Rattus norvegicus: one gene and its partners. The protein of the gene in region 3 interacts with the protein of the main gene of each other region in a pairwise test. Links are inferred from orthologs where the notes say so. Each region holds a gene or a part of one and is shown on either strand. Other genes may lie near its edges.

Region 1 (3,943 bases), on a different chromosome or scaffold from region 3:
AGCAGGGAGACAAGGGTGCTTGTGTGAGTGGTAGCCATGGGGAGCTAAGTGTCAAGACTCCAGTATAAGGTCTATGATTTTTAGGGTATTTCATTACCAGCATCCTTTCATTTTTCTTGCTTTGTGCTGATACAGTCATTCCTTACTTCTTATGGCTGGTGGGAGGATAAAATAAAGAAGAAAATGCACAACGAGGGTTTAGTAGCAATATTTCATTCTGTTAAAGTGCCCACCAAAGACTATTTAAAACAAAAAAACAAAACAAAACAAAACAGAAAAGGGACAGTCCCTACATAATTCCTGTTATTATTCCCACGTTATGTGAACATGCCTTTTTTTGTTATCACGCCTTTAATGTGACCAATTTCTTGAAGCACCACAATTTTCAAAAAACTTCTGAGTGGTTATGAGTGGTGTTTTCCCACTCTGTTAGAAGTATACTTGCTCATGTTGTACACGGGGAGAATCTTTCTCATCCCTACCCACTCCCATTCCCCCTTTCACCAAAATAAATGCCTCCCCCCCAAACAAAGAAATTATTTCACGGTATATTTAATGCTCATTTTAAAGTTTATTTATGGTGGGGTTGGATACATGTTTTGCAAAGTGTGCTAAGTGCTTAAACTGAAAACAGTCCAGTTCAAATCAGTCCATTCCACATGGATGTTTCCTGTGCCAGTTGGAGTCATATGGAGAGGGACCCTGACCTTTCTCTTGGTCAGGTCTGTGTTGTTGTTAAGTCCTGCTAACTCTCCAGGGCCTTCTTTGTCGATACGGACCATCAGTCCCATTCAAAGAACAAGATACAGAACACCTCAATGTATTTCACAAGTTTAGCACAGCACATCTCTTGTACAAAAATCCAAGAAAGCACAGAAGTGAAAGTACCAACTTGCTCACTTATAAAACACACATGCATCAATTTTAAACACTACACGAGTACACAACTGAATACATTGCATTACAAGATAAAAAAAGCACTGGATGGAAAACTTAAAAACTATACATGAAATACTGCACTATGAATCTGGGATACTCTAATGTCCAACCCCACCCTTACACAGCCCTAGTATGGGTCAGAAACTATCAATGTGCTCCTGGACATTTTAGTCCTCAGAGACACTGCTGCGGGGGGCCTGGGCGACAAGATTAGCCTCCCGCAGAGCTCTGGCCTGCTCCAGAGCCTCTCTGTAGCGGGAAGGCCAAGCCTGGGGATCCTTCTTAAAGACTCTGGCCAGGAACTCCATGATCTGCATCTTGGTGATTTCACGGTTAGCTCTGGGGCCCCAGAAGAACTCGTACTCGGGAGGCTCGATGTGGGGCACACGCTGGTACTTCAGGTAATTCTGCTGGACGAACTCCTCGGTGATAATCTTTCTCACATCTCCGAAGGTGGAGTGCTTCTTCCAGGGCCTCAGCCCCAGGATGCGCAGCACATTCCAGACCGCACCCTCTCTGGCCCCGCGGCCCTTCACATAGATGAGACTCAGGATCATGAGCAGGAGACCTGTCATGGGCATACGGTTGTTCAGCGCGACTCTGTCCAGCTCTTCTGGGCTGAGTGCTTTGACCAGGGCGAACTCCATGGTGTGGAGATTGGTCAGCCTCAGGTGCAGCCCGAAAACTCTGGCGAGGATGACGCTGGTGCGCCTGAGGATGCTTCTGCACCACTTCTTGTAGCTGCCCATGACCTCTTTCACCATGTCTGGAAACCAGAGGACCATCCTCTTCTGGTCCTTGACCAACACGTACCACATGAGCTCGTGCGCCTTCTGCACCAGCTGGGCAGGGGCCGGCGGTGCTGGGATCGGCCGGGCTGGGCTCTGGGGCTGGTGGGCGCGGCCCTCTTCTGCGGCCTGCTGCAGGATCTTAGGGTCAACCTCTTCAAACCGTTCTGCAGGTGGTGGCGAGGCCTGTGGGGCTGCCATAGGGCCTTCCGGAGCGCACGATGGCCCTGAGAGGTTCGCGGCCAGAGGAGCGGGAGGAGGGACCCCCACCGGAACAGCATCGCTGACCTGCATCTCAGTGTCGGGGTCCTCAGCGGCAAAGTTAGGGTCGCTCAGGTCCTTACTTTGTTCCGACATTCTGCGTCTTTTGATCAGAGCAGGACCGCTGCGACTCGGAGCTCTCGGAGCCTGCACTGCCTCAGTGGATACTAGCAGAGGAAGTGCGCTTTACTGAGCACTGCGCCTTCCGCAGCAGCGGGCCGGGCGGGGCAGACGCTATATTGCGCATGCGTAGTGGGAAGCCAGAAGGGTGGTAGGGCTGGATAGGAGCGAAGTAGCAAAGCCCAACCACTGGGGTCTAAGGGAGGGTACCACTAGTATTATGAAAAGGATCTCCTGGTCTCCTGTATGGGACAGAGATGGGTGATAGTGGGGAAAGAAACAAGTTGAAGGAGAAAGATATAGCTGAGATGGTGAAGTTAAGTTCCGACACACTGAGTTAAGTGTGAAGGTCCTGGAGGAAGAAGACTAATTCTTGAATTTGAGTTTTCCACAAAAGAATAGGAGAGACAAAAATAACCTTTTCTTGGAAAGTCATACCTGATGATGATGATGATGATGATGATGATGTGTTGTCTAATATCAGAATGTTGAGAAATTATTAATAGAGATAAATCGTTACAAATCTGAGCAGTATCAAACAAGGAAGAATGCAAAGTATAGTTACAGACACTGGAAATCAATCCATGTGAGAATTTAATGTTTTAGAAGTAGATTCATATAACATAATTGATGTGCGTCTAAAATTTTAATTAAAATGGGACTTGGTTCAGTGGGCAAGAGCTGTTGCAGTTCAAGCATGAACCTGAGTTTAAACCCCAGGTCCCACATGAACAAAACAGATATATAAAATTATTTATATGTATTCATTCATCGTTGGATTCTTAGTTTGTTGGCTTACAATTATTTTAATAACTATGGATTTGGGCTCTGCATTTCTATTAGGTCACTTTGATTTCATTTAGAAATTCCCTTAAGAATCTAGTGGGAAATGATCAACATGTTTATTAATACACATTTTATGATAGTGTATTTTTCATGCACTCCCAGTGCCCTTTCCCCCTGCTTACTGCTGTTACATCTTCATGTTTATAAGAAATCTTCCACGTCTTGCATTACGTCATTAGCAAATGACTAATTCCATGTTGGGCGCACGTCCAAATCTTTCCCAATATCTTTCAAATGCAATTCTTTTGGATAATATCTAACATTCTTTCATAAATGAGAGGCAGCATATTGGTGTTCATAAATAAAAAATGTAGATTGAGAGGAGGTAACCTGAACCTGATATTTCCTCGAACTTTCCTTTATGCAATGACCATGGTTGAAGCTTCCAAAGCCAGAAGTCCTTAAATTTGATCATCTTTCTTATTCTGAAATAATGGAATTCCTTAGCCCTTCTTTGAGTTCCTCAAGTTTAAAACATCTTAAAATTATGCATTGAGATTTATTATCACTTAAAACAGATGTATTTAAGGTATTGGGTTGGCATTCCTTGGCTCTTCAATGTGTTTATTTAGACAAGACAGACATCTTTTACCCAGAATATTTGTGGCAAGAAGTATGTCCGTGTTTCCAGGTTTGAGAATATTCGCATATGTACAATGATATGTTATAAGCTCCAGAATAGACATGTTATTAGTTTGCTTTCTATCCACATTTTGAAGGCAACATTATACAATAGTCCTGGTAGACTTTTGTCTCAGTTGTGATCTGGTGAGAGCTGATATGGGATTTGTCACTTGTAATATCCTGTACATCCTGGAAATGTTTCAGATTGTACAATGTTTGCTATTTCGGGTATTTGGACTAAGAGTGCTCTAGTCATTTCTTAGATATGTTTTTCCCAAGTGGGTTGATTTTGAAGAATTTTCTGGGCTAACTCACTATGTGTATACATACATGCACATACTGTATGTATACCTATGCATACAGTG
Region 2 (4,596 bases), on a different chromosome or scaffold from region 3:
AGGGACCTCTTCACAACTTTAGTACACATCCTGACAGCTGACCTAACCTCTTAGAAGGAACTTTGAGGAAAAAGAAGGGCATATCATCATCTTTGGGAAAGCCACATCCAGCCTCAGTCACCCACTCTTTTCCTCCATGTGGCTCAGTCATATTACTTGTCATCTTTACCTACTTTCATTGAAGTCCCTACAGCCCACCGAGGGCACTGCCAGAACACTTCCCAACTATGATGCTTTGCAAAACCCCAATGAAGCAAGTGTCACTTGAGGATCAACTGAGGCTGTTCTCATCACATACCCAGCAAGCACTGCTCCTCAGCCCTGGGCCTACTTACCTGGGCCCCCACCCTGCCTGCCTCTGATCGGTTCAGCCTTTGTGGATTTGCCTGTAGACCCCCAAAGACCTCAAGGCCACATGATGTACATTGTCTCCACTGCTGCTTCTGTGTCCTCACCCCTCATGGGCAGCAAGGGCCTACCTACAGTAAGCAACACTGCTTCCACACAGGCCCATCTGCCAGAGACTGCAGCAGCTGCTGCCACAATGGCCCCATAGCTCAGTGCATGGATCTCTTTACACATGTCCCGATTTTTCTACATGAATCTTTCAGGAGCTTTTTATTGCCTCAGCTTTGTTCCCTGTGTGGACACTCCATTTGTGTTTCCCCCCACCAGTTTCTTGAAAGGCCTTGGCTTATTCTTAGTTTTTAGGCAGCCACTTAAAGCCTTCAAGCAACATGGTCCTACTTTGACACATGGTTTCTCTGACTTTCAGCAAAAATCTGTGATATCCAGGGTCTATGTTTTTGTAGAAATTAAGATGTTTCAGTGTTTGGTCTAAGAAAACTGAATGAGTAACTGTGACCTGAATACTAAAAGTCTCAAAGTTTGGATTTGCCTAAAGGCAATAAAGATGTTGTAAAGGAAACAAAAGAAATCATCAGATTGCATAGCAAACTGTAGATTTAAAAAAATCAGGTATTACTTCAAAATTTCCCCAAAAGAAGCTTCTAATACATGCCATCAACACCCTCCCCTTGTCAAGCAGAATAAAGTGAGACAAAGTAAGAAAGATGGCAGTAAGATCTGGCAGTAAGGAGACCCAGACTTTGACCAACTGCTGGGCTGCATTCCCAGCGGGTGCTGAGTGTGAGTGTGTTCTGGGTGGACACAAACACAGCCACTCTCACTCTCAGGTGTCCAGTGATCTTGAGACAGGACAAAGGCAAGGGCCCTGTGCCATCTGATAACTGACACTACGAAATGAACAAGGGAAATCTCCCCTCTGGGTTCTTCCTTACAGACTACCATGAAAAGAGAGGGAAGGCAGCCAGTCAGACAGGCAGGAACTGATCAGAATGGCCCTTCCTTCCCTGTGCAGTTTTCTCCCCAAGTCTCTCCATTGCTTGCTCTCTGGGTTTTATTACAAGGGGAAAGGACTGGGGCCTAAGGGTTGCATGGTCCCACAGCTCTCTCAGACTGAGAGTCCCTTGGCTAGCAATGCACCCCGGTATGTCCCTGCATTCTCATCAACACCTCTCAGCAGGCTGGAGAAATCCAGAAACCCCAAGTGCAGTCGACAAGCACCTTGTCTTGTTTCTCAGGACTGAAAGAAAGCTCAGGTCTCCCCCACCCCAAACCCCAAGTGGTCTCTATCAGGTTAACAGGACCAGAGGAGGAGGTGGCTGCCTTCCTCCTTGCAAGTCAACATGAGGAAAAGGGTGGTGACGCTCCAATAATGAAGAACCAGTCAGCCTGCACGCAGCCCAAGTGCCTTGCTGCAGCAGTGGGGGCCATCACACCTCGCTCTGGAGCCTTTTCACCAGTACCCAGCACAGCCTTGCCGGTTTGCTCTGGCTGAAACGCAAGCCTGCCTGCTGCCAGCCTTTTACAGACCTGGGAGGCCTGGGAGCCGAGGACAGGATTTATCTATCGCTGGATCAAACTTTCACATTTGGAAGTATCCTCACTCACATCTTAGCTCGAAATACACGACAAGAAGCAGATTAGGATAAATGATGGAGCCTTTTGCAGCCATTGGCATCTCGTCTTATTATTTCCCAGAAGACTAAAAATTAAAGCAAAGCTCGCTCTCCCAAAGCTATGCCCCATGAGCTCAGCAGTGCGTTTCAGCACCTGCTTCGGGGACAGTCGCCATCGAGAGGGAGAGCACAAACTCACCCAGGTCAACAGGCTCTCCCCTCTACCCGAGGCAGGTGTCCTGGCGTCGGGAAAGCAGAGGGCGTCTGCGAACCCCCCGCCAAAACACTGCTCCAAACAAAACGATCAGTGTCCATGCCATCCATCTTCTGTGGTCCTCTGCACGAGGGATGAGGGGGGTGGGGTGGGTTTGGGGGTACGAGGTGGTGTCCCTTATGGTCATGACCGGCCAGTCTCTATGCCACCCTCTCCCCCATGAAGAAGGGTCCCCTGGAAGCCTCGGCCCTCCTCGACCCTAGGGTACTTGGCTGTGTCCCTCGAGGCCCCTGCTACCTGTGGACATTACGGAGGCTCAGGCTGGAGGCTCCCCGCGGCCGTGCACCAAGAGGCCGCCACCACAACGAACCACAGGTCTTTGTGACCCGTGCCGCGGCACCTCCAGAGAAGGGAGCCAGAATGTCTCTCTAGTTCCGAGACTTTTGATTTCGGCCAGGGACTCACGGAGCTGTCGGGGCCCGGGGCCGAGGTTCCCCGACGAGGCACCGCGCCCTCCCGGGGGCTCGGGCGCCACTTACCGCAGCCGGCGCGCAGCCGGTGCCGCTCAGACGTGGGCTGGGTCCCCGGCGTGGCGCTCGACGGGGGCGGCCAGGCCAAGCGGCATCGCGAGCCCCGGGCTCTGTGAAAGCGCGCCCCGTGTCACCACTCGCGGGGTCCCGGGCCACAGAGGACCTGCGCGTCTGGGGAGAAAGGGGGAAGCAGCGCGGAGCCCAAGCCACAGCAAAGCCACCCGCAAGCGGGGCTCCGGGTCTGCGCAGCGGGCCCACGGGGTGCAAGGCGGTGACTCCCAACCCTTGCCGCTGCGCCACGCTGACCGCACCCACTCCCTCGCACCCACTCCGCAGCAGGTCTCCTCCCGCGCCGGGAGGGGCCGGGAAATCCCGCCCGCCGCCGCCGACGTCACTGGTGCGTCACTGGGGCTCCCACTCCGGGCTTTGCGCGCCCCTGGACCCGGGCCTCACCCAGACCGGCCCTCCCGGGGAGCGCGCAGCCTTGGAGGGTTCATGGCTCCAGGAAGATCCCCAAGTGCAGAGTGGGGACAGCCAGCTCAGGGTACTTCACCTGGGGACACCTAGGGTGCCTCACACGGAGGAAGGTGGGCACAGTTAGTGCAGATGCTGAACATCTGGAAATGCGCACCAATCTTACGCAGACGTCGCTAAGCAACGCGGGCAAGACCGCCACCCGACCTGGCTTGGCAGAGCAACTGCCTCCCAGCCAGTCACCAAGAGTGCAAGTGAACAGCAAGGAGCTGCTGCTGCAGGGAATCCTGGCGACTCCCAGTGGCCTGCCAAGCCTTGTCCTAATGGAACTGTGTTTTGTGTGTCTCGCTGTAAACGGATGAATTACCAAACTCCTCTTCCTTGAGACGCAGCTTCAGTCACGTCTGTTTTCCAACTCATGAAATAATACAAAGCCCTCTGAAGGCAGAAGCAGGGAAAACGTTTCAGGCAGTAGATGCATAAAGAAGGAGGCCGTACTACTTCTGTCTATAAACACCACTGACATTTCTTGAAAATCTTCCTCCTGTCTACCTTCCCTAACCCTGCAGAAAGTCACACTATAGAGGATGCCTTAGATTTTCGCAGATCTTTCTGACATGCCTCACGGTACCGTGCACGGTACAGTGACTGAGTCGAACTGCCCAAAGAGGTCAGAAAGGCCCAGTGGGGTGGAAAATCACGCTGATTGTCTTTACAGCTCTCAGGAGTCCCTTTTGGCCTCAGAATTAATTGACGTCCCAACGATTTAGCCAGTAATAGTCGCAAGGCAGAGACTAAGTGAGACCCTATGGTCACTACAGTTGAAAATTCAATCAGCATAAAATTGTGTCTACTGTTTTTACTCTCGGATCCACCATCTCTCCTGCAATCCCTGGCTCAGTCGTTCACTCTTCCTACACACCAGCTGCAGGAAAGTTGATCGTAGGTTTCCTTTTACCAGAATTCTAACAAGTTCAGTTGTATTCCCATGTATTCCATGTCAATAGATAAACTCTCTGGTGGATTGGGTGGCCACTGGGACTCTTCCGTCTCTCCCAGGCCTTTTCTTGTCTTACGCACACACAGAGCGATGTTCAGCCTCTAGTGCTCTGGAGGGAGAAGTTGCATCCCCTTGGGCAACCTCCTACACAAAGACCCTACCCTCTTCCACTAGCCGCCCGCCCTTCTGGGGACCAAAGGAGCAACATAGCAGATCTCTGGGAGACATTAAATATAATGATCTAAATATATAATGATCAAGGATAATTGAAAACAACAGAGTTGATTTAGTGTTGAGTAAAGGGCAGAGGGGCAGCCAACTCAAAGAAACCAAGCACTTCTGGTACAGCAGACAACAATTGAGCTTTCATTCTCAAAAAGAGATCTAAATAAGAAA
Region 3 (4,553 bases):
ATGAGATCCACTTTAGAGCAGTAATATGTGGATTTAACACCAAAAGGGACTCAAACCTGCTCTCCAATCAGCTGACATTTAACATTTTAAAAACATTTAGCTGTGTGTGGTTGAGTGCATGACCGTATGGGTCCCCTGTGAGCCAAAGCAGATTCCCCGAAGATGGAATCAGGGGCAGTGTGAGCTGCCAGCCGTGGCACTGGCTGGGAGCCACACTCAGGTCTGCTGGAGCAGTGCTCAATCTTCATTGCTACTGAGTCCTCTTCCAGCCCACATTTAACGCTCATGTGGTCCGTTCAACTCAAACCTGTAGCTGAAGACTTGCCACTGTCAGTAGTTGATTATGAGTTCAAATTGGGATGCAATGATCTCACTTCCCTTTGACACTTTCAAAAATGGCGCTATTGCTGCGTGCAAGAACAATCTGTAGAGTGGCTCATCCCTTTCACCCTTCATGTAGGAACCTGGTGATGGAACGCAGCTAACCAGGCTTGCCCTGCAGACATCTCCACCTCTAAGCCATCACACTGGGCCCCTTTCACAACCGAAAAGACTGTCTCAGCTCCCTGCTTGCTTTAGAGTGGTACAGTTCTTATCTAGCGTGCATGTAAAACACACACGGCATTTGTTTTAGATACTCTTTCAAGTGTAAAACTCAAACAGAACAACCCAGATAGATAAAAATCCTAATTAAAATTAATCAAAAAATCATAAGTAAAATTAAACAAAATATTCTGAGTGAGGTCAGCTGGGAGGCACATGCTGTTTTCTTGCCTTGAGAGACAGCATCTTACTATGTAGCCCAGGCCGTACTACCACACGTCCCCTGTGGACGACGCCTTCATTTGGGCCAACAGTCTTCTCCAGAGTGACCTTCCCTGACCCCCCCTGTTCTCTAGTGCCCTGCAAGTGTTCCTTGGCACAGCATGGTCCCACAGCTGCCATGCCTGTGGTGGACCAGCACGTCTCTGTCCATATCCTGCTCCCGTCACACAGTAATTGCTAAGGAGGATGTTGCCATCCCAGCTCAACAGTACAGAGCAGGATGCTGTAGTGTCTGGACAGGAGCAGGGCAGGAAACTCTTCTAGGGTGTCCTCCTGACCCTCCAGACCAAGGGCATGCAGCCCAGCACACAGTACCGTTTGCCTCCGAAGCTGGGCCTCTCCTCGTCTGAGTCACGCTCAGCCCACACTCCATAGGTGGCCTCCTCTTTGGTCTGCCAATGACGCTGCCGGTTGGGGTTGAACTCATTCTGGAGATCCCAGTCAGTGATCTCAAAGTTCTCACGCTCGTCATCGTCATCATCAAGGTGGCCTTCCCCATCCCGGTACAAGTGGGACAGAGACATGGCCAGTCACTACAAGAAGAGGGGACAAGAACAGCACTGTGAGAACCCACGGCCAGCAGAAGATCCTCCGGAGTCAAAAAGCTATGAGCCTCATAATACAACTCAGTAAAGCAGCCATTAAACACAGGATAAAATGACCAGCTCTGCAACAAGTGAGACGAGTCAGACCCGGTCATCACAGGGGTCTAAGGAACAATGCCTTTTCAGAGTCAAACATAGTGCATGCATGGGGTGGGGCCACAGACAGACGGCAGACATGCCACAGAAAGGAAGCAACAGCTCCATGTGCTATTACCTCAGAAACCAAGTTGGTCCTTTCCTTCTCCAGGGAAGTTGTACCTAGCTGATTTGCAGTTCCAGGGAAACTTTAGAGCATTTTCTGAAATACTGTCTCACAAAACTGAAGGTTTCCTTCCCAAACCTGAATGGCTTCTGAGGGATTGGAAGGAGGTGGTCTTTCTGGACGACACTTCACAGTCACGCCTAGAGGGTGTAGAGTAAACAAAGTGTTCTACCCAGGTTATCTACTTAGCTCTCTCTCATAACTGCATTCATTCAGTTCCAGAAGTAGCTTGCAAGCACTAAAACAATCCTTTAGAAAGACAAAGGCAGTCCATCTCAGTAATTTCAAAGCCAACCTGGTCTCAAAACAGACAAAACAACAAAAGCTGAACTCCCTGCAGGTGCTCAAGAAACAGCACCCTCACCAGGCAGGATGATGACCATCTTTGATTCTAGGAATAGGGAGGCAGAGACAGGTGGATCTGAGTTCAAAGCCAGTCCAGGACAGTTCCAGGACAGACAGGGCTGGCTGTTACACAGAGAAATTCTGTCTCGAAAAAAAACAGTAAACAAGGTGGGGGGAGGGGAGAAAAAGAAAAAAAGAAAGAAAAAAAAGTAAGAAAAAAGCATCTTCTACTTCCGTCCCGTGGTCAGGTGGTTTCAGGATCACCGTCATTACCAGTCAGGGCTGAGAAGTGAACCCTTCAAAATGACTGTGAAAATCAGGAACACTCAACACTACCGCCTGAGTTTAAATCACGCTTCTATGAACACCTCTGTGTGTGGGTATCACATACAAAGGCCCCGACACTGCACAGCAATGTCCTCACTATGTGACTCCATGGTGTACAGATGCACCAGTAATTGACAGCGGAGAAAGCGCTCCGTTGTTATAAACATCTCCCTACTCCTCACTATGCACCGGTTCATCACAACAGGTCTCAACCTCAGCTAAGAGTTGAGCGCAAAGTTCTCAAAGGAGCAGGAAGCCCTGGGCTCATGAGATTACCACCTCCCCAGCACAGGGGATAGTAAAAATCCCACAGTGGTCAGGAGACACTCAGCTTACCCGCGTTCGGGGCTGGTTATTTAGTGTCAGCGTCAGGACGCTCCCAGGTCCCGTCCCGCGGCGGGCCGGGCTGGAGACCTGGGCGCGGGGAGAGCATGGGACCGCCGCCATAGAGCATCAGCCCGCCCTCCGGGCCATCCCGCCACCCCGCCGCCCGCTCACCTCACTCAGCACCCGTGAATCACACAACTTCGGTCCACCTTCCCAGAGCCTGCGAGGGACCCGCTAGCCGAAACCCGGATGTGACCTGCCGGCGCACAGGAAGTGCGTCACTCGCTGGCGGAAATGGCGCGCTGTTGCCCCGGCAGCGACTTAACGCTAAGGGGGCGTGTCTGAGTACTGGAAGGCCTCGCTCTGCTTCCGGTTCCCATCGGAACTGAGGCCGAGTGGATGTCTGGTCCCTCTGCAAGCACTGGGGTCTTGGTTTGTCAAAGGCGGAGAAGGTGTTATCCCAAGGAAGCCACCGCCGGATAGAACCGCCGTGCCCATAGTGCCTGAACCAGCGTCACGGGGACCCTGAGTGATTAAAATGTCCTCAGGACCCCATGTCGCGAGAAGGAAAGGCTAAGGGCCCAGCCCCAGAGGAAGAGCTTGGCTGCCGGAGGTCCTCGCGTTGTAATCGGCGAGCGTGCTTCCTGGCTTTTGCTTTATCTTTTCTGTAACTCTGTAAACAGGAAAGGCAGAGGAACCGAAGAACTTATCTCTAGGCAGCTGTGCACAGCCTGTAATAAATTTGTTTTTTCTTTGTCAATCCCTGGCCCTATTTTGTTCTGAAATACCTGATTCTTGGGTTGTCTCTGTTAGGATAAACCAGTGTGGGCCTGGAACAGTTTAAGGAATGAGTTTCCGAAGGAGTGCCCGGGCGTTCTCGCCAGGAAGCAGTTTTCCTCGCTGCTGTAGTTATTTCTCTGGTGCTGAGAAAGAAAGGAGTTGGGCTTTTTTGTTGGTTTGGTTTGGTTTGGTTTTGGTTTTTGGTTTTTTCAAGACAGGGTTTCTTTGTGTCCCTGGCTGTTTTGGAACTCAACTCTGTAGATCAGGCTGGCCTCGAACTCGGAGATATGCCCGCCTCTGCCTCCTGAGTTCTGGGATTAAAGGCATGCACCACCACTGGCCCACAGGACGGGGGCATAGTTCATCTTACACTCTACACATCTTACAAATCTACACATAGTCTGATGCCATCTCTGGTTCTGAAACACGCTCGTTTTCTCTAGTACACTAAAAGGCTGCGTCTTGGTGGGTTTTGTTGTTGGTTGGATTTTTGTTTTTCCCCATCAGCTTGATACACACTAGAGTTATATGGGAAAAGGAACCTCAGTGCTTCCATCATCCTGATGGTCTACAGGCAAGACTGTGGGGTGGTTTGCTTGATGAATGATTGGTGTGGGATGGCCCGGCCCGTTGTGGGTGGCACCACCCCTGCTCAAGTGGTCCTGGGTGCTGTAAGAGCGGGAACAAGCCAAGAAGCAGTATTCCTGTGGCTTTCTGCTTCAGTTCTTTTTTAAATGTCTGCCTTGGACTGAAATCTGTAAAGCAAATACATTCTTTCCTTCCCAAATTGCTGTGGTCTTTACAGCAATAAAACCTAACTAAAACATTCAGGAAGATATGTTACTGAGGCTCTTGGGAAGTCCATCAGAGCCAACGTGATACTGTGGAATCAGGGTTCCTTCTTGGGGCTTATGGTCCCATGAATGGAAGCATCTAAGAACTGATACAAATGAGGTGTGTTGGGGGGACCAGGGGGTCCGGGAAGGGGGGCAGGCAAGCTGTAACTCACAGCTGCCCAGAGGAGAATGGAGAAGGGAAAAGGTGTGGTGGTGTGAGAGGGTCAGCCAGGAGCAGGGAGGGGA
Region 4 (4,581 bases), on a different chromosome or scaffold from region 3:
TTTCTTTAGCTTTTATAAAAAATACTAAAATCTGAAAAGAAAAGTCTGTCAACTTTCGCTTCTCCAATTGGGCCATAAAATCAACAGATTAATTTGTCAAGAAAATACAATTTCTGTCCCATGTGCTGGAATCGTTGGGTTCAAAGTAAAATTCTGGAAAGTCTTTTGATGTCGAGGGCTTTGACAAAAGTTCCTTATATCCTGTTAAATGTGAGAGGGTGAAAGAAATGTTCATTTGTCTCGTGTTTTTGTTTTTCTTTTTACCTCAAAGACCTAAATGTTTATGAACCTTCAAAGGGACATAGGAAGTCACTGACACAGTTCCTCGTGTAACAATTAGAACAACAAAATGAAATGTAGAATTGACTCATACGCAAATATACACAAGTCCATGCTGAGGTAACTGAATGCATAGATAAATGAGAGATAAGAAAATTACCCTTAAATAGTAACCCGAACAATAATGTCTGGATGCCACAGGAAGTAGAGCTCGACCTTTCTGCCTTGTCACCCAGAGTAAAATGAACCGAGTGAATTCAATGTGACGAAGACATTTCGAGGAGAGAAGAAGAGTAACGAAGCAGAGAAACCTAGTCCACTTGATTCTAATCAGGGAATCAAGGTCAGCCTTGCTGCGGAAGTCTGATTGCTGTCTTGCTGTCACGTTGACCAGCAGGATGGGATGAGGTGTGGGGGAGGGCCTTGTCCCAGAGGTTTTCTTCCTGGTATGCGCATGTGAGAGATAGCAAAGAGACGGGTGGAATAATACCTACCAAACATCACTGGTATACCTCAAATTTCTAAAGTGGATCAGATCAAGAAAGGACTAAAAAAAAAAAAAAGACCTGTCAAAGAGCAGCAGAGACGAGGTGACCCACACTAACGCCAAGTAGTATATCAAATGGGATTTTGAGGGGAGCTAGGACATAAAGGGTATTAGCTCCAACACTCGTGACATTTGCAGACAATTTGGGGTTGGTTAATAGTAATGGACACTGTGGATGTCATAGGTTTCAACGAAGCCATCTCTAAGGAACTGTGTACCTTCAGGGCTCTGGCTGAGTTGTCTAGGGAACTCTTTCTCCTGGTTTTGCAATTGTTTGGTTTCAGATCATTCCCAATTAAAAGTGTTTAATTAGACACACACACACACACACACACACACACACACACACACACACACACGAGAAATGAATTTGTGGACTTAGGGCGCTACAGAACATCATCAGACAGGCCTGTCCTTAGCTAGAGCCTTTCCCCTGGGACAGGCGCCTTAAGGGCGGTGTCTGGTCTTTCCGCAGCAGCTCAAACGTCCCAGGCATTGGAGAGTCAGAGGCTCCTCCCAGAGGTCTGGGACACTGGACTCTGCCCTGGGCGCGCCTATCTGAGCACTTAGGTGCTCTCAGTCGCCAAACTTCAGCAGTTAAGGACCCGACGGTGGGCTCTCTGCCAGATCGCTGGAACTGGAGCAGGCGGAGGCCTTCAAGGTAGGCGAGCCTGGGACAACTGTGGACTGCTGCCAGGTGGGGGGACATCAGGTGACCTTGGCGCGGGCCACCCAGCCGAGCACCCCGGGACATTTCCCGGGGAAAGTCTTAGAGTGGTGAAGAGGGTGTTTCGTTGAACCTCTGGTTCTGGGCTCCGATTCCCTGGTGCAAAAGTTTTCAGAAAGAGAAAGTTACTTTTCTCCTCTCCCAGTGCACACAAACCTGCTTGTTTATTTAGGCTGCTGTTATCTCTTAGTCAGAAATCCTGAGACGTCTGTCTGCCTGTTTCAGGGGCCCGGGGAAAGGTAACCCAGAAAAAGCTGCAGTCTAACTGGCGTTCATCTCTGCCTCTGTGAGTTGTAGCCGCAGAGGTGAGCGAAAGTCAGTTGTTCCGCACGGACTTGCCTCGCTACAGGCGCTGCAAGGGAACAGCCCGTTTCCGACTCACTTGTCAATCTGGATTGTGGAGGGGCCTGAGGCAGCTTAGCAGGAGCAGTATCTCCTGCAGGGGCAGTTCTGGTGCTCCAGTGGATCGTGATAGTGGTGAATTTTCAGCCTCTTTCAGAAGGAAAAGGTGAACATAAACTTCAGAGCCTAGAGCACACCTCTAGGCCAGGACATAACTGATGTTACAGCAACGTGTCATAGTTATCTTATTCCAAGCATCAAGCGCCCCCCGCCCCTCCTCCTTCCTTCTGTGCTATATAAAAATTAACTTAATCAGATGATGTTAGGAATGCCAAACAGGAAGTTTAGGGATGGCAAAAGGGGAATCGAGCCTTCGGATTTTAAGCGATGCTATTAAATATTTAGCTCTGTGTAGATTGGTTTTCCAGAAACTTGATCTGGGCCTGAGTGTCTGGTACCTGTGTAGAATTGATGCTGTTGGTCAATTGTTGCTGGGCCGCCCTGCCCTCCTCCCTGTCGCTCCACCTCCATGGAGGGGCAGGGGGGGGGCGTTAGGGGAGTGGGAAGGAGATAAATAATTTGTCTCAGGCAGAGAAAAACATTGTTTCCTCAACTCCAGAAATAATGGAAAGAGGCTGGGTGTGGAAAGACCCAGGCAGACTTGTTAAGATTCTTAATTTGTTCTTTTCCAAGGCAATTGATCCTCTGTTCTAACTGAAAAGAGACTGAAATAAAGACCGGCACGCTTCCCTGACTTACTAAGAGGGACTATAACCAGAATGAAACCTTAAGGTAGCATTTGTCAGCTTGGCTGGTTCAAATGTGTTTCAACAGTGGCCTTTGGTTGCCATCCACACTTTTTTTTTTTTTTTTGCCAAAATGCTTAAAAATGTAAGTTAGATTTAGCCTTAAAATGTTTACTTCAGATAACTGCTGATAAGAGGAAGGATTTTGAAGAGATCTGAGAGGTGTTTAAAGTTGTAGGTTCAAGTAATTTTGAACTGAGACAGATATATCCAATTTAAATGATCATTTACTGATTGAAGCATATATATATATAAATGATGTATAAACATGATAAAAACATATATATGATGTATAAACATGATAAAAACATATATATGATGTATAAACATAATATAGACATGATATAAACATATATATATATATATATATATATATATATATATATATCTCATGTGGATTCATCCAGGTTGTAGTCTCTATTAGTAAGTAACTGAACAGTGCCTGGGTTTGATTAATTAAATAATTTAACATGATCACATAAATTTAATTATTGCTAAGCATGAATATCTGCCCTCTCCATGGATTTGGAAAACAAAAGCTGGTTTGGGGCTGGGCCTATGCATACTCTTTTAGGGAGCACTTTAAGCGATTGTGAGCTTGTGGAACAGAGCACACGTTTGTAAGATTAGAATTGACGGCGCTCCTGCCTGGCATGGTGCCATGTTGATTGCACAAGAAGAGAAATTCCTGTCTTCTTACGTTGGATTTCTCTAGAACGTCCTACTATCACATATCAGGAAGCAACAAACACCGGCCACAGATATGAGGACCTTTGTTCTGACAGAAGTTTCCCTCACTTACACCCACATCTACAACTTAGAGAGGAATTCCACATTCATTTGGCTAGTGCTGTTCTGTTTCATGTAGATTGGGCGAAAGCTTAGGAATTACGAATTCTAGGGTTAATATTATTAACATGGAATTAAGACTAAAGAGTCAAAGATCAGTTTCATGAAAAATAACTGAAAATTAAATGTGCCGCTTCGGGTAGCAGCGATTCTGGAAATATGAACAAAATTAAAATTTAACAAAGTCCTATCCAATAATTATTTTCATTCTTTAAATGAGAAAAAAATCAAAACAAAACAAAACAGCGATCACTGTTCCCTACAGGGAGCAAATCAGCTATGTTCAAGTTATTCTTGCTTTTATTCGGTTTCCTTGAACACAGTTTTATTGGAGGTGAGAGCAAATTACTCTAAAACATATCCAGGCGTATAATTCAGGGATTGTTTGTAAAGCCACTGAATGCAGTCACCACAGCACAGTGTGCACTTAGGTCACCGTCCCTAAACGTCTGCAGTCTCACTATCCCCGTCTTCAGGTCCAGGAGACCCTCATCTACCTTCTGTCTCTTCAGAGTTAACCTTTTCTGGACGTTTCAAGCTGGTGGAATCAAACACTGTTGGCGCCTTAACATCTGGCTTCTTTTACGTAGAGTACAGACTTCAAGGTTCATTCAGGTTGTAGCATGTATTTGTGCTTTGTTCTGCTTTATGGTCATCTAATATCCATTCCATTTGAGATATATATATATATATGTATATATATACATATATATATAGTATTATATATAGTATGTAATTATATATGTGTGTATATATATGTGTATGTATATATATACTGCATAACAGTATTTAATACACTGTATGTGTGTGTGTTGTTGTGGAGTATGTATGTGTTTGCATGTGTGGGAACATGTATGTGCAGGCCAGAGACCGACATGGGTATTAATCTCTGTCACTCTCCATCTCACGTATATCAAGGCAGAGTTTTGTACTTGAATGCAGAACTTGCTAAACTGCCAGCCGCAGGGATTCCTTGTCTCTGCCACCTGTGCACTGAATTTCTGTTTGGCTGTCCCACTTGCACAGCATCG
Region 5 (3,936 bases), on a different chromosome or scaffold from region 3:
GACCTACAGGGGCCTACACTCCCAGGGACCTACAGGGGCTTACTCCCAGGGACCTACAGGGGCCTACACTCCCAGGGACCTACAGGGGCTTACACTCCCAGGGACCTACAGGGGCCTACACTCAGGGACCTACAGGAGCTTATGTCAGCATCTGCCATCAGGTGCATCAGCTGTGGGCTGTATGTAAAATGCCCGCCCAGCACTCCTGCTCTCTCTCTGTTCCAAGTGTTCCTGCTGGTCTCTCTTCCTTTCTGTCCTTTCCTGTCCCTCTTCTCTACCCTGATGGCTCTGCTCCCAACTGTCTGCTGACTACATGTCTGCCTCTATCTCCTCTCCACGTCCCCACTCCCCATCCTGTCCCCAAATAAACTGCCTTGTACCAGATCTGTTCCATAGAATAATTTCTCAGGGGACTCCTTGGCGTGACCCCCAGGTACCCATAACAAATATTATCATGAAAATTCAGGTGAAACCATCGAATATTTATCAGAAAATATTTGTCACCAAGTATCAGAGAATTAAACAGTCCATTTGTATTTATGTCCATCAGGATCATGTAAAACAGTCAGAAGTCTGTGGGATTAGTGCCCGCTCCCCTACTGTGAAGCTTTTCCCCCTTTTAATGAACAACCAAGGTCTGTTGAGGAAAAATCTATCCATCTCTTCAGATATTTTAATTCCATTTTTACCCTCCCCCTTCTCTTCTCTGCTCCCTCCTTTCCCCCTCCCCCTTCTCTTCTTCCCTCCTTCCCTTCCCTCTCCCCTCCCTTCTCTTCTCCCCTCTCTCCTTCCCCCCTCCCCTCCCTCCCTCTCTCCCCTGTCTTCTCCTCCCTTTCCTTTCCCTTTTCTTTCTTCTTCCCAGAAAACATTATTTTTAAATAACGAAAACTGTGTGGAAACAAGTCTAATCTGTCAGATTGAGGAGAGAGACAATACAAGAAAAGGGGCTGGAATGACAGACACAATACTCTGGCAAGAGGAGGTGGCCTTTCAGTAGAAGCTGAAAGCAGGTGATCATTTCAAAGGAAGACGCCCACAACACACTGGCGACCTCTGACTCACAGGACATGCCCATGTGGCCACTGGACCAGCTGCTTCCAGACAGGCTGGGCACTCTTGCTGCAGGGCAGTCTTGCCCACTCCAGGGCAGACTCCCAGCTCTGACACTTGTTTGCCTCCTTCCAGCCCCCATCTGCCCACTCGCTACTCAACACAGTTACTCTGTGTGCTGAGCTGGGCACAGCCCATGGACCCAGTACTGGAACTCCTGAGACACAAACCTGTATTTTTTTGTCATTTGCTTCCATTTTGGCTGTAAGATCGGTCAACCTGTGAGTCAATTCTTCTCTCTCTGCAAGGTTTTTGTCTTCTGAGAGTCTCTGCAGGGCTTGCAAGGCATCTTTGGTCCTCAGTAACTCGCTGTCGGTTTCTCGGAGTTTCCTGGACACAGCTCGCTCCTTCTCCTGGGATTTCCGGAGGAGCTGTCGAAGGTTCTTCACCTCATTCTGGTGCTTGACTGTAATCTGAGGTAGATTGTTCTGAGAGTTCACGTATGTCCCTATGGCTTTCAGGTGCCTGAGCTGAAGCTGCTTCAGAAACTGGTTTTCTAGGATAGTGGCTTCCAGCTTCCGGTGTATATCGGCCAGCTCATTCTTCAGCTCTTTGATCTTATGGAGCCTGGCTGACAGTATCCGGTGTGTCATGGTGTCTCTTCTCTTGGCAATCGTTTGGATTTGAGAACTGAAAAATGAAGCGTTCCAGATGTGCCTTTTCTCAGCTGGGATGTCCTTCTGGCCTGCATGGACAGACAGTGCAGGCTGTTACAGCAGTGCACAGAGGCATGCAACTATGCACGTGTGTAGCAACCCCCAGTACACACATAAACATAAATGCCGTGAAACTGAGAGGCCGAGGCGGCTCACTGGACGTGCCTGCTGCACGTAGGCACTGCACACACAACTGTCTCCCAGACACAGCTCTTCAGCCCAGGCTCATCTGCCTTACATCTGAGAGTCATTTTAAGTCATCCAAGGCTAGAGAGCCATCAGGTGACACAGAACGGACTATACACTACTTCTTTGGAAGTCTAAAGCCTGTGTTTAGATATCTGCTATAAAAGTTACTCTGAGAATCATGCCTGGTGTGGAGGCGCATTCCTGTATCCTTACACTGGGGAAGCAGAGGCAGAGGATTAGGAGTCCAAGGATAGCCTGGATTAAATGAGACCCTGCTTCAAACACAACAGAACACTGGTGTGGTTTGAATATGCTTAACCCATGGGCAGTGGCACTATTAGGAGGTGTGGCCTTGTTGGAGAAATGTGTAATTGTGTAGGTGGGCTTTGAGGTCTCTTAGGCTTAAACTCTGCCTAGTGTAGAATCGGTCTCTTCCTGGCTGCCTTCTGATCAGGATGCAGAACTCTGGCTGTCCCAGCACCACGTCTGCCTGCACGCTGCCATGCTTCCCTCCATGATAATGGACTGACCCTGGGAAAGAGTAAACCAGCCCCAGTTAAAGTTTTTCTTTATAAGACTTGCCTTGGTCATGGTGTCTCTTCACAGCAATGAACTCTAATACAACAAGTTATATTAAAACCCATTGTTCTGGATAGTTTTATGTCAACTTGACAGAAGTTAAAGTCATTTTTGAGAGGAGTGAACCTCAAATAAGAAAATGCCTTCAGCTGGGTGCTGAAGCATAAGCTTTTAATCCCAGCACTCTGGAGGCAGAGACAGGTGGATTTCAAGGCCAACCTGGTCTAAAAAGGTTACACAGTGCAATCTTGTCTCAGAAAAATAGGAATAAAACAAGGGGCCACAAAGAAAAGGCCTTTTGGGTGATGGAGGTCACCACCATCCTTACCAGACTTGGGAGACTGTCTTCTTGGGGTCAAGACAAGGCGTTTCATTGGCAGTTCAAACTTTGATTCTTTAGTTGAGGCCAATGGCAAAAAACTGGTGAAACCAAGTACTGAGTACCTGTGTACCGAGTACCTGATGAGCACCTGTTAACTAGAACAGAACTCTCCCTAGTAGCAGGCTTAGGGGGCCAGCTCTGTGGGGATGACGCTACAGTTTATTATTTTATGATTTCCTTAATTTTTGTTTCCAAGTCCTTCCAAAATTTCATATATATATATTTTTTCTTCTTTTTTCAGGAAGACACACCCATAACTGGTTGTGGCCACTAGTGTTAAACAAAGACAGCACTGTGACCAGTGCTACAGTGACCCTGGCTGGGAAGTCTGGCTTCTTACCTTTAGGCTGAGGGAATTTACATGTGTTATACTTTCTTTTCTCCTTTTCTTTCCCCAGAAGCTGCTCTGGCTGATGTCTGCTGACAGCTGTCTCAGAGCACTCAGAGAGAAAGTCTTCTGAGTAGTCATAGCGAGAAGTCAGGCTTGTGCAGGAGCACCGGGACCTGCTGTAGTCCACGCTCCCACTGGAAGCCCGGCTGTTCCGTGACAGGCCGCCAGCACCAGGGCTATGCTTGCCTTCTGCAGACTTCCTGTTGCTTCCTAATGCCAGACTGGGGAAATGCTCATTCGTGTGTGCTTCTGTTGTGTCAGCCAAAGACATAGTCCACAACCTGAGGAAACAAAAGGACACTCTGGCCTGTGGTCACTGGAGTTAAATGAGGCTGTGCTTTACTATAATGGGAAATTAAGAATGGGAAACAGTACTTTTTTTGGTTTGTTTGTTTGGGACAAAGTTTCATTGTTCAGTCTTGGCTAGCCTGGACCTTGTTGTGTAGACCAGCTCAAAGTCATAGAGATCCACCGATCCATCAACTTCTGCCTCCCAAGGGCTGGGATCAAAGGCTGTGCTATCATGCCCAGCTCAAAACAACACATTATTAAAAGGCATTTCTGGAACACTCTCTATTTGGTTTTATATTATTTTTTACATGAAATATAGGACCTTTGGGGTCAAATTT
Region 6 (3,853 bases), on a different chromosome or scaffold from region 3:
TGTGTGTATGGTTCATGTACACATGTGTGTGAGTGCATATCCATTCGTGTTGCAAGTGCACTTGTATTTGCATCCACGTGGGGACCAAGGTTGGTGTCCGAAATCCTCGTCTACTGGGGATGACTGCCATTGGGTATGGGCTCTGTCTTTGAGGGTGGTGGACATGTTCAAGGATTAGTGGTCATCGTTGTACAACCCCCGGGTGCACACGTTACATAGGTGGATTTCGCAGTTTGTAGCTGAGTCTCACGAAAGAAAAACCGTGAGAGACACTCCATACCCCACATTCACCGAATAAAGCTACGTTTAATGAGCTAAGCAGTTTACTACGACAAGAAGACACCAGTCTACCTCCAGTCTAGTTTTGCTCTTAACCGAGCCCCGTGTCAATCACCTTGCGCAGGGCTCCTTACTCTCTTCAGCATTCGTGATTGGAATTTGTCTTAAATGATTCAATGACTAAGTTGAGTTCTGAGAGGTGGCAGAGACGACTGGGTTGGAGGAGGGGAGGCAAAGGCAGCTTAAAGGCAACAGGAGGGCAATGAGAGTAACTGGGAAGTTGCCTCCTGGGAGAACCCTACAGGGGGCTTTTAGAATTCAGAAACAAGAAAAACAAAACCCCAGGCGTGAGAGGTTTGTTTGCTTGAACTCCTCCGCCCTAAGAGGACCACAGTGAAGGTGGCTTAAATGTTCCAGGATTCACTGGCTTTAATCTTACAAGCCCTTTACAGCTCCCCAGAGTGAAAACGTTTATATTTAATTACAGAGCCCGGTAAATAGACTTCTCCCCGCTTCGCAGTCACCGCACAGTATTGATGCGGTTTCCGGACGCCACAGCTGGAGCAGCCTCCCCATTGGCAGCTGTTTATATGTTTTCTTCTATCTCCTTGACTTCAGAGGACACGACCTTGCCGTCTACCACTTCCTCCACGACCGTCTTAATCTTCCTGGTTTTCTTGATATCTGTGTGAGTGTCAGACATTAGAAGTTGGTCCAGGCTCATGGCCACCCTGAAAAATCACTCGACTTTTTCCATATACAAATTTAAGTTGGATTTTATAAAAAAGCATAGAACGATGTATCTCATTCTCCCCAAATTCATAAGGCCCCCATCTTCTCACCTCAGATAAAAATAGGCAATCTCGAATAAAACGAAATCCACATTTTAGTTGCACACCCCCCCCCCAACCCCCTGCCTCCCCAGGACCCGGGGCTGTTCTAGCCATAGCATGGGTTAAGAAAGGCACTTCGTCATAGAGAGTGTGCCAAAGTCTCCACTTGAGTGCATTCTGTGCATGATGTCCAAGTCTTTTAGAATCTTGATGCCTTGAGGCTGGTGAGATAGCTCAGCCAATACAGCACTTGCTAAACAAGTATGGGGGTCTGTGCTCTGGTGCTGAAACCCATGGTTTTCCTTTGAAAACATGCTGGATGTGGTGGTAGGCAGGAAGTTGTTCTGACTTCCATGCAGTGTGGCATGGGCAATCTCTCTCTCTCTCTCTCTCTCTCTCTCTCTCTCTCTCTCTCTCTCTCTCCTCTTCTTCCCCTCCCCTCCTCTCTCTCTCCTCTTTCTCTTCTCCTTCTCTTCTCTCTCTTCTCTTCTTTCCCTCCTCTCTCTCTCCCCTCTTTCTCTTCTTCTCTTCTCTCTCTTCTCTTCTTTCCCTCCTCTCTCTCTCTCCTCTTTCTCTTCTCCGTCTCTTCTCTCTCTTCTCTCTTTCTTCTCCTCTTTCCCTCCCCTCCTCTCTCTCTTCTTTCTCTTCTCTCTCTTCTTTCTTTTCTCTTCTCTTTCCCTCCCCTCCCCCTCTCTCCTCTCTCCTTTCTCTTACACACACACACACACACACACACACACACACACACACACACACACGGAACAAACAAACACATAGAAACTTGCCCCTCACTTGTGCTTTGGAGGACCTCCACCTTTCACCTTCCCCCACTGACAGACAGCTGTCAGGGAGCTGCTGAGATTTCCGCACTATAGGACATGTGCCCAAGTGCAGAACACTTACCTTTTGCTTCCAAAGTGTTTAGCTGGTACTCTGTAGTTCTGTGTTGTGAAGTAAGCAGAAAGAAAGACAGCATTACTGCCGGGTCAAAGCTGTGGGGATTCCCTCCTTGCCCCTTTGTTTTCTAATGTCTGGGTTGACATGTGGTTAAATGTTCTTTTCCTATGTCTGTCCTTTGGACTGTGTTTATCTCACGCTGCAGTGATCTGCTTTTTAGCTTGGAAAACACCGACCTACTTATCATCTACTAGAAATTTGTACATTGAGGACTAAAATTAGGACAAACGTTCAAGTCTGTGGGGTTTTTTGATTGTTTGTTTTGCGGGGGAGGTTTATATGCGAAGGCAGACGTTGCTCCAATTCTGCTCATCTACAAACTGGCTCCCGTGGGCCTTCGCGGCCGGTGGTTTAATTCATGAGCAGTCAGTGAGAATTTTCAAAAGGGCATTATGCTTCCAGCTATACACTTAGCACAAGAATCAACACAAAGGTGATCGGCATCCTTTGGAGAACCGTCTTCTGACTCGGTCCTGTCACAGACCTCGTTCATAGGCTACTGCTGTGTGGGGTGTTCTCTACTGTTTGGTGTATTTCTGCCTCGTTGTCCCGTGTGTAACACTGCTATTGTGCTGGGGATTGGCTGGACAAGGACTGTGAAGGAGAATGGCAAACACACAGAGAGACACACATTCCGGGATGCTAAGAGCCTCACTTTATGTCCTCTCCTTCCAGAAGGCGGCGGTAGGTGGCGATCTCCTGCTCAAGCCGGGTCTTTATGTCAAGGAGGATATTGTACTCTTGGTTCTGGCGTTCAGTGTCGCTCCGGATCTGCATCAGTTGGGCCTCCAGGGAACTCAGCATTTCCTGGATGGCCGCCAACTGGCTGGCATAACGAGCCTTGGTCTCCTCCAGGGTGCGCTCCAGAGACTCTTTCTAAGCATGCAAGACAAAGAGGGGGGATTCTTACTTGTGGATAGCGCAACCGTTGTGTCTTTTGGGAAGAACTTTTGCAGCCTTTGAGCACCACCCGGTTTTCTAGCTCTTTCTGCCTAGTCAGCCAGTTACCCCTGCCACCTCTTGCCTTTTTGCTTTGTTTCGATTAACCTTTACGGTTCCCACAGCGTGATGCACACGGTGCCACAGCGTCGAGGTTTACTTCCTTGCTTGGAAAGAGGTCATGCCTGTCACCCCTTTAGTAGGCCTGGCCACACAATTCATGGTGTCAGTTGAGAACTGGATTTCTCAAGCTACGGGCCCAGGCTTGATCATGTGACTCTTTGGCGGTTGACATGCAGGCAAAACTGACAGAGCCTTTCCCTTTTCTCCTGAGATTCAACTCTAAGAGTTGCCCCATAGTTCAACTCTCTCTCTCCTCCTTCCACCACCCTGACATGACCCAGACTGGTCTGTCCCTTTAGCCTTGACTCCTAAAGTGGAATGCCATCATGTCGTCTTGGGAGGGTTGTCAACATAACTTACTTAGCCTGCAATGCCTCTACCCCTTTCCTGCAACTTAAAGCTCATCTTTGATTCAAGATCCAGGACAAATGTGATTTTCTCTGTGGAAGCTTCCAGATCTACTCTTTCCTCTGCCCTGCATTGCCTGTTACCCTTGCCTTGGTTTCTTCCTGTGGCATAGTTCTTATTAGCCATTGGACCTGTTTCCTTGTTGGCTCTGCAAGGGGAAAGGTTGTTTATTTCGGTTGTCTGTGCTTCCAGAGTTCTGAACATGATCCGAGGGGCTCACCATGCTTAGTTGGGACTGGAGCTCTATTTCCAGGGTCTGGTAGCTGCGTCTCAGTTCCGTGACTTGAACCTCGGTTCCTCTCAGCTCCTCAATG
Region 7 (3,897 bases), on a different chromosome or scaffold from region 3:
GCTCCTGGCATACAGGGAAAAGATCTGTAGTTAGCCTCGATCAAGGTGAGCTTTTAATACTCCACGAGATAAGAAATGACGCAAGGAAGGCTTTAAAACAGCCTTTGGGCTGCGGGCTTCTCCTTTATAAACAGTAGGCAAAGTAGGGGGCCTGGATTGGCACCGTGGCAACTCCCCTTACCCAGGCTTCCCTCCCTACCTTTCAGTTATCTGTGTTCAGTTTCAGTCCAAAATCAAATGGAAAATTCTGGAAAGAAACGATTCGCATATTTCATGTGTCTGAGTAGTGTGGTGAGACCTTGTACCATCACATAAGGGTCACAAATCATCCTTGCCCAGAGCGTCCATGTTTTATACACTACCCACCCGTTAGCCACTGACGTAGTGGCCTCACCCCGAGTCATGGTGCTTATGTTATTGGCCTGCTGTACCTCATCACATGCTTGTTCTATCACTTCAAAAGGGTGGCAGTAGTATAATAAAACATTGAGGGATATAGTATTTTTGTTGTACTTATAAATCTGGAGGGGTATTAAGAACTAATTACAGGTAAATTTTGTTTTAACAACACTGTTTAACTGTAAAGTATATGTATTCACCAGCAATGCTAAAAGATGATGATGGTGATAAGGCACATTGAAAAGCTAAGTCACCTTTTAATCCTATTTAAAAAGAACCTATTTTACATATAAAAAAAGCAGAAAATTCTGAAGAGTGCCCTCGAAGTTTTCATTACCAATAATTTCTGAGAAACGTGAAGCTGGCTATGTCTTTTCCCTATGCAGGGGCATCACCCAAATACAAGACCATTCTTCCAGACCAGAACCCACAGTTCAACAAAACAGTCCACCATAAATGCAAACGTGCGACCCTTCTAAACAAACAAAAACCCTACAATTTAAGATTCCTATTTGCTTCATATGGCCCAAAATACATAGAATGTACAGGTTATACACCGTACTTTGTGGACTGCAGAGTACACACTAAGAAAAAAATAAGCGTGGTAAAAATATATGCCCTAAGTGGGTAATCTGAGGATTTCAAATGCTACTATAAAAGTGGGTGGTGTAACCCATTACAAAATTTCCAACTGTTCTAAATCTCTGAGTGTACGCAGCCCCAGGGACACGGACAGCCACGACCTGGGTCCCAGGCTAGGAGCACAGCCCATGCTGCGTCAACCGCCCTTCGTGCAAGCGTTTCTAGTCTCCACGAAGGATACTTTCTGGATTGTAGTTATTCCCTGTGCTCCAGTTCAGTTGTAGTAGCTCTTACTTTAAACTTGTTTTTGATTTGGTGCTCAGCATGGTCTTTGAAGTTCTCTGTTCCTTGAGGCACGGGTTGTGACGACGGTGATGGCGTTCGCGTTCTGCCTGCAGCCGCTGCCGCCCTCTGGTCAAGGCTTCTAGGTACCACCGCTGCTCTTTCATCAGCCTCCGGTGCTTTTCCAGCTGATTCCTCACAGCTTCCACCCTGCGGTACTCCTGGCTCAGTTGCTGAAGCTCCTTGCGTAGCTGCTGGTTCTCCCTGTGGAGGCTGCCACAGAACTCAGAATGAGCCTGCTTGGCTGCTAGAGCCAAGGCCTTGTACTTCCTCGTAAGCCCCGTGGTGTTGATCTGCCCCAGCTCCATCAGGTGCAGGTCTTCCAGCTCCTTCTCCATCAATGCCTTTTCCTGCAGGAACCGGAAGTGTGCCTTCTGGTCCTTGGCCGCAGTCTCACCTCGGACTTTCTCTTGCTCCTGCTCCAAGCTCTGTATTTTCATGTCCTGGCCCTCCTTTACTTTGTAAATTGGCTTCAGGGCCTGCAACTGCTGCTTCAAATCCTTCTGGGTCTTTCTGCCCTGCAGGAGCTGGGCTTGAAGAGCTGCATTTCTCTGGTTGTATCTGGACGCCAATTCTTGCCTCTCTCGTTCTATCTCGCCACATTCTTGGATGTACTGCTTCCACAGCTCCTCCTGTTTCTTTTCACACTGTTCCTTATTTTTACGCAAGTATTCCGTGAAAAGCTGGTTTTCGGCCTGCACGCGGTATTTTTCTTCTAGTAGCTGCCTGCTGTCCGTCAGCAGCCTTTCCCGCCGGCATTTAGTTTCTTGGATTTGCTGGCTCAGCTCCTTCAGCTCCACCACTGTCTTCCTCTTTACCCGTTTCTCCAACCTCGTTAGCAATTTTGGCTTGAGATACGTATTTAGAATAGTAAGGTATGGTGTTGGTGGGGGTGCACCTTTAGGGCTCTGGGCAAGCATGTTCCCAGAATCCCCAGGTCAAGGAAAGTGACTGCCAGGGAGCAAGGCGGTTTGTTACTTCAGGGTACAGCGTCCTGAGCCAATGTTCCCAAGGTTTCTCCCTCTGGTGGTCAAGGCGACCAAGCTACACCCAGCCTGCCAGGAAGTCGCAGAGCTCACTTAGAGTAGCCTCAGAGGCTGTCCAGGGCTGGCCTTGATCTCCGAGTTTTCACTAGGAGCCCAGAGCTCCTGTTCCAAGCTGGCGAGCCCTGTCCTGGGGAGCCCTCTGGTCTTGCTCTCCTGGGACCTGTGCTTTGCCTCCTCATACCCTGTCCACAGGTCAGCGTGCCCTTCTGTTCTCTGCACACTAGCAGACGTATAGCCAGACTCATCTCTGCAGTGCTGGGGGTATGGGTCTGCAGGATAAATGGCGAGACCTAGGGCTGGGGAGGGTTGTTTGCAGATCCTTGAGTTCCCTGTGTGTTGTTGAGAAAGGCAGCATTGTGGGACTTTGTACATGAGCCGTAGGGAGCACAGAAGAGACTGTGACAGGCAGAAGGCCAGGAAGAAAGGGAGGAGGTTTCTGAAGACTGGAGTGCCCTTAACTCTAATTCCTTCACGGCACCTTGGTCTAGTAGGCTCCCCCAAGTGCATCCTTGGGGCACTTTGGGTACTACTGACCGTGGAGTGGCACCCCTGATAGTGAGTTGAAGGCAAAATTGCTGGGTTCTTGAAATCTGGAGCCTATAAGTAACTGGAAATGCCTGCATCTTATGTCTAGGATAAAGAGTTGTGTGACTTTGGGCAACTTGTTTAACTGAGGTGCGTATCTCCCTTGACACTTGGGATTTTGACCTGTCAGCTTCACAATGCTACCATACATTACTTCATCTGATCTTTCCAAAAATGTTAGGTGGAGAGTACATGCATTATTTCCCCCACTTTAGCTATGAAAGAAACCCCACAAAACACAGATACTAATCCCCAAAGACCACATCCTAGGGTAAAGAAAGAATAAGAATCAAAGCTTCTTGGGTTAGGGTAGGTAAGTTTCAATCTACTCTATTTCTCTCAAAATAGTTACTGAGGAAGTCCTGCCCCATTTTTATTACTTGAAAGGCTTTTAATTTTTTTTACAAGACTTTAAGTTAGACATTATTGTCATGATATGTAAAGCAACTTGTCCAAGGTCCTACAGACTTACTAGAAAGTTTACCTGTCTTCTCATGCAACAAATGGGCAGACACCCATTTTGTGGGTCAGCTGGGGTATACTGCTGAGTACACCTAGAACTTCTGAGATTGTTTTCACCCTTCCTTATCTCATGCCTAACTCTTCATTGTGTTGTGGCTGTGTGTGTGTGTGTGTGTGTGTGTGTGTGTGGTGTGTAGTGTGTGTGTGCAGTATGAGTGTGTGTGCAGTATAAGTGTGCAGTATGTGTGCTGTATGTGTAGTATGTATGTATGCAGTATGTGTGCAATGTGTGTGCAGTATGTGTGTTCAGTGTGTATACAGTATGTATGCAGTGTATGTATGTGCAATATGTATGTGTATAGTGTATGTGCAGTGTGTGCATGCAATATGTGTGCAGTATGTGTGTGTTCAGTGTATATACAGTACATATGTGTGCAGTGTGTGTGCAGTGTGTATATGTACAGTGTGTATATGTGCAGTG

Evidence for each region.
Region 1: the proteins of Tfip11 (region 3) and Ndn interact in a two-hybrid assay, tested with the Homo sapiens proteins (2 studies listed by BioGRID and IntAct). The link is inferred for Rattus norvegicus from reciprocal best matches to the Homo sapiens genes TFIP11 and NDN.
Region 2: the proteins of Tfip11 (region 3) and Gng4 interact in a two-hybrid assay, tested with the Homo sapiens proteins (2 studies listed by BioGRID and IntAct). The two-hybrid records come from large-scale screens. The link is inferred for Rattus norvegicus from reciprocal best matches to the Homo sapiens genes TFIP11 and GNG4.
Region 4: the proteins of Tfip11 (region 3) and Ccdc68 interact in binary tests that used the Homo sapiens proteins (3 or more experiments, as listed by UniProt). The two-hybrid records come from large-scale screens. The link is inferred for Rattus norvegicus from reciprocal best matches to the Homo sapiens genes TFIP11 and CCDC68.
Region 5: the proteins of Tfip11 (region 3) and Lca5l interact in binary tests that used the Homo sapiens proteins (3 or more experiments, as listed by UniProt). The two-hybrid records come from large-scale screens. The link is inferred for Rattus norvegicus from reciprocal best matches to the Homo sapiens genes TFIP11 and LCA5L.
Region 6: the proteins of Tfip11 (region 3) and Krt20 interact in binary tests that used the Homo sapiens proteins (3 or more experiments, as listed by UniProt). The two-hybrid records come from large-scale screens. The link is inferred for Rattus norvegicus from reciprocal best matches to the Homo sapiens genes TFIP11 and KRT20.
Region 7: the proteins of Tfip11 (region 3) and Ccdc121rt1 interact in binary tests that used the Homo sapiens proteins (3 or more experiments, as listed by UniProt). The two-hybrid records come from large-scale screens. The link is inferred for Rattus norvegicus from reciprocal best matches to the Homo sapiens genes TFIP11 and CCDC121.

The regions. Positions count from the first base shown.
Region 1 is NC_086019.1:125,259,267-125,263,209, reverse strand, and holds Ndn (necdin), read right to left. Parts: upstream 2,152-3,943; 5' UTR 2,085-2,151; coding exon 1,107-2,084; 3' UTR 552-1,106; downstream 1-551. UniProt on the Homo sapiens protein: Growth suppressor that facilitates the entry of the cell into cell cycle arrest.
Region 2 is NC_086035.1:93,431,669-93,436,264, reverse strand, and holds the start of Gng4 (guanine nucleotide-binding protein G(I)/G(S)/G(O) subunit gamma-4), read right to left. Parts: upstream 3,071-4,596; 5' UTR 2,736-3,070; intron 1-2,735. UniProt on the Homo sapiens protein: Guanine nucleotide-binding proteins (G proteins) are involved as a modulator or transducer in various transmembrane signaling systems.
Region 3 is NC_086030.1:49,969,323-49,973,875, forward strand, and holds the start of Tfip11 (tuftelin-interacting protein 11), read right to left. Parts: upstream 2,936-4,553; 5' UTR 2,863-2,935; intron 2,812-2,862; exon of another isoform or gene 2,701-2,811; intron 1,833-2,700; 5' UTR 1,645-1,832; intron 1,359-1,644; 5' UTR 1,350-1,358; coding exon 1,141-1,349; intron 1-1,140. UniProt on the Homo sapiens protein: Involved in pre-mRNA splicing, specifically in spliceosome disassembly during late-stage splicing events. Intron turnover seems to proceed through reactions in two lariat-intron associated complexes termed Intron Large (IL) and Intron Small (IS).
Region 4 is NC_086036.1:65,815,915-65,820,495, forward strand, and holds the start of Ccdc68 (coiled-coil domain-containing protein 68), read left to right. Parts: upstream 1-1,386; 5' UTR 1,387-1,487; intron 1,488-4,581. UniProt on the Homo sapiens protein: Centriolar protein required for centriole subdistal appendage assembly and microtubule anchoring in interphase cells. Together with CCDC120, cooperate with subdistal appendage components ODF2, NIN and CEP170 for hierarchical subdistal appendage assembly.
Region 5 is NC_086029.1:48,947,266-48,951,201, forward strand, and holds part of Lca5l (lebercilin-like protein), read right to left. Parts: intron 3,589-3,936; coding exon 3,257-3,588; intron 1,796-3,256; coding exon 1,281-1,795; intron 1-1,280.
Region 6 is NC_086028.1:84,880,273-84,884,125, forward strand, and holds the end of Krt20 (keratin, type I cytoskeletal 20), read right to left. Parts: coding exon 3,760-3,853; intron 2,946-3,759; coding exon 2,725-2,945; intron 2,054-2,724; coding exon 2,016-2,053; intron 964-2,015; coding exon 866-963; 3' UTR 680-865; downstream 1-679. UniProt on the Homo sapiens protein: Plays a significant role in maintaining keratin filament organization in intestinal epithelia. When phosphorylated, plays a role in the secretion of mucin in the small intestine.
Region 7 is NC_086031.1:95,784,832-95,788,728, forward strand, and holds Ccdc121rt1 (coiled-coil domain containing 121, retrotransposed), read right to left. Parts: upstream 2,305-3,897; 5' UTR 2,244-2,304; coding exon 1,272-2,243; 3' UTR 637-1,271; downstream 1-636.